2 linked regions of the Drosophila melanogaster genome follow. The protein of the gene in region 1 interacts with the protein of each later gene in a biochemical or structural test. Each region holds a gene or a part of one and is shown on either strand. Other genes may lie near its edges.

Region 1 (3,751 bases):
GTACTCAGCTCAGTGGGCGTGTGAAATTACCGAAAATACAAGGTAAATTGCGTTTTCTTTCAACTCAATTATGCTTGATTCGTCGAAATGTTGGCCGTCTGATTGCAAGGATTCTTCTAACCACAATTGATTAAATAGATATCAGAGTATTACTTCTAAATATTTATTTAATTTAATATTTTTGATATTTATATTTAATATTTATCATTTCGACCAATACTTTTTTTACTTATAATGAAGCTTTCACAAAATCAAAACTAAAGCTCAGATGCCGAGTTTCAAATCGAATTAGCTACACACACGTTTTGCAGATTAGACCGCAAATGAAACCGACTCAGCTAAAAATCGCTGAACTTTCGACAGCATTTCGCCTTGTAATCAAAATCCATTAGTCAACATAATTACGCTTTAATGGACTCGAAAGTTGTTTATGCCTTGCGTCGATTCGAACCGAAAGCTATGGGTAAATATGCGTGGCTTAATTAGCGGCCATAAAAATTTGATAGATTTTAATCTATCGCACAAGCTGTTGTTGTGCTCTCGCCGATTCCTAGCCCATTAATCTCAGAAATCCGGCGACGAATTTGACGGCTCCGGCTGATAACAGAGTGTGAAAATAGCACTACCGAATATTATTCCATTGTTTTTGAAAAACTCTTGGGGTTTGATAGGAAATGTTATAGTGTTGACCGAGGAAACGAAGTGAGACATTTGGCACGTCCCGACAATTGATGAACCTGCTCTGATTTTGATTTGGAACTGCGATTCGGACACTACATAAATTATGCAAACTTTGTCGTGTGCCAAAAAAAAAATGTAATGCCTGAAAATTAACATTTAAATCGTAGCGAAAAATAAACCCGGTAGCACATTTCATAAAACTGTCCCGATCAAGTTTCGTAGATGATTTATGGAAACAGCAAGTTTGAAGTGCATCCGTGGTGTGGAATTGCTAATGTGGACTGGATTGTCAGCTGTACGAAAACCGGGACGTTTTAAAATAGGGAAAGTTAATATATAATATCATAAATTAAATAAGTATTTTAAATTATAAATTTTACGCCATGTTGTTGAATGGGGTTTACGAACTTTAAAAACACCATTAACAAAATACTTATATTCCTTAATCTTTAGTTTTATGCAGAAATATATAAAGAGCGTCTAACAAATCCTTGCTAAACTATAAATTTGCACAACAAAAATCCCCCTGAGCAAGGGAAATATTTAAAACGCACATCCTCTGTAAGCCTCGAAAACCCTTTTCGAACTTCCTGCAAATTTGGCCAGAGTCCGCAAACAGAGACATTTTGCCCACCTGGCATTAGATTTCCATTTAGCGCTCGTTCCGGCCCAGAAATGCAACCGCAAAAACAAGAACTATGAATGGCAGTTTAAGCCAAATTACACAAAGGCCAAGAGCAACAACAAAGTCGTATAGTGGTGGCTGTTTGAACGGAAGCCATATGCAGAAAATTCGGTAAAGGCAGCGCACCGAACTGGACCCGCCCCTCGAAAAGCAGCCATTTCACTCGCTCCTTCGCAGCTAGGCCATATCTGCAGGGTAGATAAAATCCACAAGGCGCGCGCAAAGAAGACGGCCATACTACACCGAGCACAGTGCCTCCCGCTCTGGCCCGATAAACTGGTTTGGCCTGTACTGGCGAAGAGAGAAGACTCGCCGCAGCTCAGCTCTCTTCGAGTAGCGCACACTTGGTGGTGTTGCCGGGCTTACCGGATTTATTCAGACATCGAACGTCGTCGAGAGCACACGTCTATATTCTCCGTCTTCCGACACAAAAAATAAGAAAAACGAGCGCGTCGATCGCCGTAGAGCACAAGTCTTGACAACCCGAGTGTGTGTGTGATTAATAAAGTAACTAAACGTATATATGAAAGCGTTTCCAATGCGTCGCTTAGTGTGAGAAAATCAACGAAACATAGAGAGTTACAAATAAGGACTTCCCAGAGGATTAGACAAACAGAACAGATTAGATTAAACAGAAAACCGTGCTTAAACCCTCGAAAAAAAAGCCGCCAACATAGCCGAACTAACCGCCGTATTTATGACTAAGATGATTCCGCCGGTTCCCACCGCCGCTGCAGCCGTCATGATGCCCACACCAAAGCAGAAGATCGGTTTCAGCATCGAGTCCATTGTGGGCAATGATGTCAGCACCGCCGGCGGCAATTCGACGCCCGATCTATCCGGTCCCCAGAGTCCGCCGCCCGGCGAGCGCAATGTGCCCGGTTCGCCGCCCCAAACGCCACCAGCCACACTCACCTTGATCCCAGGCTCGCCCCCGCACCATCTGATGGCTCCTCCTGCCCACGGACTGCCCTATCCGCATCCGCATGCTCAGCAGCAGCATTTGCAGGCACCACATCCGCATCCGCATCTATCGCCTGCGCAGCAACATGTGCTCCACCAGCACCTCCTCATGCAGCAGCAACATCCGGGCACACCCAAGAGCCACCAGGACATTCAGGAGCTGCTGCAGAGGCTGCACCACAATGCCGCCATGGCCAGCGGCCTGAGTCCGCTGCAGACACGCCTCTCCCCCGAAACGGAGCAGCCCCAGATGGCCGTCTCCCTCAAGCGGGAACGCTCACCTGCACCACCTGCCATGGAGCAGGCCGAGAATCCCGCCCAGCGCATCCAGCCACCGCACACGCCTCCCAAATCCGTGAGCCCCCAGTCCTCGCAGCCCTCGTCTTCGCCCACTCTGCTGATCAGCAGTCCACATGCCACACCGCCACAGCAGCAACAGCAGCAGCCGCCCCCGAATTATCCAAAGCCCGCCATGATGCATCCCGGAGGAGCTGGACCCATGATGATGCCGGGCATGCCGCCCGCTGGACTCGTTCGCCCCTTTCCCATGGGACCCGGAGGACCACCGATGCCGCAGGGTCAGCCCGGCTTGCCGGACATCAAGGCGCTGCCGCCCTACATCAACGCTCCGCCGGAGCTGCCGCCTCAGCACAATCCGCATCTCATTGCCGCTGCCCAGTTCCAGATGGCCGCCGCCCTGCAAGCGGGTCATGTGCTTGGTCCAGCGGCCGCCGCCGCTGCTGCCGCCGGCCTGCCGCCCCATGCCGCCCAGTTTATGCCCAATCCAGGCATGGCCAGGGATAGCTATCAGCTGTACCCCTGGCTGCTCAGCCGCCATGGAAGGATCTTCCCACACCGATTCCCTGGAAGTAAGTATCTTTTGGAATGATTCTTTATATGCGAAACAAAAAAAGGAGATTTAGGGAAAAAAATAGTTCTTGGAGTCCAAATTGAAGCCAAAAAATGAGAAATTTCTTTAAAGTAATAATTCTAAACCTTCATAAATGTAATAAGAAATGAAAGATGCTAATATGTTTTAAATTAGTTTTGATGAGTCTCTTATAATTGCATTATATTGTCATTGCTAATTTATTGCTGTGAGTTATGATCTTAAATACCGATGACTAACCGAAACCCTTTCTTCTTTGCCTCTTTCAAGGTTTCCTGGTGCCCCCGTTCCGCAAACCGAAACGCATCCGCACCGCCTTCTCGCCGTCGCAGCTGCTGAAGCTGGAGCACGCCTTTGAGAGCAACCAGTACGTAGTGGGGGCAGAGAGAAAGGCCCTGGCCCAAAACCTCAATCTGTCCGAGACGCAGGTGAAGGTGTGGTTCCAGAACCGACGCACCAAGCACAAGCGGATGCAGCAGGAGGATGAGAAGGGCGGCGAGGGAGGATCGCAGCGGAATATGCACAACGGCAGC
Region 2 (3,751 bases), on another chromosome or scaffold:
GCTACCGATGAAGTCGATGCGGATGTTGCAGGTTGCCTTAGGATATGCTGCTGTTGCTGCTGCTGCAGTTGTTGTTGTTGTTGTTCCTGGTGACGCGTCCCGTCCGTAGTTGCCGTTACCGTTTGATCGCCGTAGAAGGACGTCGCCCTGACTGAAAGTCCCGCTCCTAATCCCGAACAGAATCCGGATCCCCCGCCCCCGGCAACGGCGTAGTCAACGAAATCGGACGCTTTTGGGGGGTAGGACGTTTTCATTGGCGCATGCTATCCCGCTCGACGTGGTCGGCTGTCTCCCTTGCACTCAGTTGGCTTGCATTGGGGTTTTTGGGTTCCGTTCGCCTTTTTCCGGCCGCTTACAAACTTATGTTTACAAACTATGTTTGTACAAAACGTGGCGGCGAGTCACTGGCGAATTTCGAGTGACACCGTTTGAAATTTCACGTGAATTCAATATTTTAAGGCTTTTAAGTAAAATATTTTACGAAGAGGATATATTTACAAGAATATGCTTTTTTCAAGACAAATACAATTTATGCCAAATTAAAAGAGAATCTGCAAGTAGAGGGAGAACACAATAGCCATTAGCATGGTCGAATAAAATCACGTACCAAAAATATCATATCACCACACTCGCACACCTGCCCGGCATTCATACGTTTATATTTTAATTCGCTTTTGAAACTTTCCATTCAAATGTGTTGTCCAAATATTGACAGTGGAGACTAACTAGTGAACTAAATAACTTTATTTTGCTTTAAGTAATTTTGTAATGCCTTGGAAAGGCTTGTACAGCAACTTGGTAACTTTATGTTTCTTGCACGCAGAACTTCCTCATCTAGGCTCTACTGTAATTGTTTTGTTTTTTACTTGATTCCACTTTTAAACTACGCAAAAAGCGGCGTGAAAGAGAGCAAACTATAAAAACAAGACAAACACATTTCGGGTGTCGAAAAATGAAAACCACAAAAGAACGAAAAAAGCAAACAACAATAAAAACATTTGGGAGATACGCACTTGGCCCCGCACACAAACAACACGCACACTAGCGCACTTTTGGCCCACACGGATACACACCACGAAACCCTTTTCTACGCACTTTGCTGAAAATTCTACGAAGCCCCCTAAAATTAAACCTAATTGGCAACTTTCGTTGCCAAACCCAAAAAACAAATCCACAAAAAACAACAACAAATTAAAGCAAACACAAGCCGGTTCCAAAGTTATTAAATGGATTGCTCAGCGAGTGGAAAAGGGAGAGACAGTTTTGCTGAATGGATTTTCGTTCTGCAGCTGGCGAGTAAATGGATCCTACGGATACCCTTGCCTAATGTAAAATCGAAAAACGTAGCTCAAAAGGTTTTGATGGCCATTATCCGCACAATACCGATTAGTAACTTGATAAATTCACAGCTTTCATTACAGAGATGAACAGTGAGAATACATATTTCAGATGGGGCTTTGGGAAACACAATATCCCTTCGACAATTTACACGCACTCTCTAACTAACGTCTAATACGACGGCTCTTAGTTAACTACGTCGCCGAGAAGAGAAGAGGAAGACGGAGAAATCCGAAACCGGGCTAAAACAAGTTTCTGAAAGCGCTTCTTCTTGCCGCTGTTATTGTCCATCATCTCATTTTGGGTGTAGCCAAAATTAATATTTATGCTCGTTGATTTGTTTGCGGGAAAATTGCAAAACATAAAAGGTTTTCTTTCGTAATATTTCACCGCACAGCACCGCACTCGCACACACACTCACACACACACAAGCAGAGTTCACAAACACCTGCCAGCGAGTCCGGTGTTTATTTATGCATCTTAATTTGTTTTGCACCTTTTTCGCAGCAGCTTCGCCAGTCATATGTATATGCAGATATATATCTTGGCTTTCTGTAGCTGCCACTTCCTCGACGGCCGTGGCTGTATCTTCTGTGGCTGCAACGTCCGCTCGCGAAGCCGTTTGTGGAGACTCTGAATCGAAGAATTGAGGCACCGAAACTTTGTTGCCACAGAGCCGAAAAAAGAGAGCGGACACTCGCCGCTCTTCTCGGCTTCGGATTCTTCCAGGCGCCTGCGCAAGCCCGGTCTCCGCTCTTCCACTACCCACTTCCTGCCGCTCCAGAGAAGGGCTCCACCCCTCAAATTGCGACTTTTAGGGCTCTGCCCGGGGGACGAATCGCGAAATTATTTTTGCTTACTTTCTCTGTGGTTGTTGTTTTGGTTTTTCCTTCCCTTGCTACCCTATAATATCCTGGGTATCCTCTGCTTCGACCTTAACGTAAATGTTTAGGGATTTTCACTTACTATACTATACTATATAGTACTGTCTCTAAACTGGTCTTATCTGTACAAATTTATGATCCGGTATGAATAATTCCAGTAAGGGGTAATCCTTCGTCGGATAGCCGATTAAGTGCTTGATTGCTTACGTGGATGTCCCTGTTCGGGCGCCATCCAAAAGTGTGAGGGGCTCCATTTGACACGTAAGGATTTGCGTCGGCAGCAGAAAGCAGAAGGAAGGGGCGGAGAAAGCCAAAAGGGAGGCCAAGAACCGGCAAAGGGGCACCTTGTGAAATAGTTTTTTTTTTTTTTTGTTTTTTGTTGAGGTGGGTCGAGGAGAGGGGGTTGCGATGTGCGAATGGGCCAAAGTGGTTTAGTTGGGCAGCCGCCGGGTAAAAAGAGGCGCTGAGGAAAACTTGCGTCGTGGACAGACTTAATTACACACATATAGAACGAGATGGAAATGGCTGCGTGGATTGAACACATTTTTAGCCGAGCCAAAGAAAAGGTACGGGGGGTACTTTTCCACCAAAGGATCAAAAGAGAGCATATGGTTTCCAGCATGCTGAAAATAAGGAATGGAGAACAATTCTTAGGAAAACCTAGACTTGAAAAGCGCAACCAAACAAAAGGTAACTAAACTGGTGAATTCCCTATTACTCTTATGTAAATAAGCCAGCGCTTCAAAGAATTGCAATTTCCCCCAAGCACAAAAGTAAAGAGAAGGTAAGCCTTAAACATAATATTATATTTTTGTTTATAATTATGGTAGTTAAGCAACATTGTAATGGGCGGTGGCCTTTGTCATTAAATCTGGCATGGACTTTCGGGGTTTATGTAGCGCAGCAGGATGCGAGTTCGACAAGTCTGTGTCCCCGGGGGTTCCCCGCAGAAGACTTGCTTAACTGCAGCTTGAACGGGTTCTGCTTTCGGTGGCGACGTCAGCAGTCAGTCCTCTGGACTGTGCATCCACACCCTTCTTCTTTTCTGCAGCGACAACGCCACAATTCAATCAGCAATATGGTTGGCAGCCTGGGCATCAATTACAGGCCAATAAAGCTGGGTCCCCACTTACCCCCCACCTCCTAATCTCATTTTCCAACAGCTGTTGGGGGCGGAGACCTGTGGGAGGGACAGCTAACATATGGAAGCTTCGGGTTTTCATTTTTTCTCCCTGTAAGCTCTAATTGACAGCTGCCAAAGTGGGCGAGTGGGTTGGGGGAATGAGGGTTGCGCCGGGAAAACCCACAAGCAGTAAGCCTCACCCCTCCCCCTCCAATCAACTCGTTAAAGTTGTGCAACAATTTCCCTTTAAATGATTTACATAGGAAACCCATGAGGGAAGTGTGAAGGAGAGGGGGCACTCTCTCGATCTCTCTCTTTCGGTATCCTTGAATGGAGGAAAAGAGAGAGAGAGAGTGGAGAGAGCAACCGGCGGCGGTTTCTTTGATGAATCGACAAACGCTGATTA

Evidence for each region.
Region 2: of the proteins of ems (region 1) and Hipk, one has a biochemical effect on the other in vitro, tested with the Drosophila melanogaster proteins (one study listed by BioGRID).

The regions. Positions count from the first base shown.
Region 1 is NT_033777.3:13,900,116-13,903,866, forward strand, and holds the start of ems (empty spiracles), read left to right. Parts: upstream 1-1,737; 5' UTR 1,738-2,063; coding exon 2,064-3,198; intron 3,199-3,488; coding exon 3,489-3,751. UniProt on the Drosophila melanogaster protein: Acts as a homeotic selector gene controlling antennal and mandibular segment identity.
Region 2 is NT_037436.4:544,282-548,032, reverse strand, and holds the start of Hipk (homeodomain interacting protein kinase), read right to left. Parts: upstream 1,975-3,751; 5' UTR 1,835-1,974; intron 552-1,834; 5' UTR 255-551; coding exon 1-254.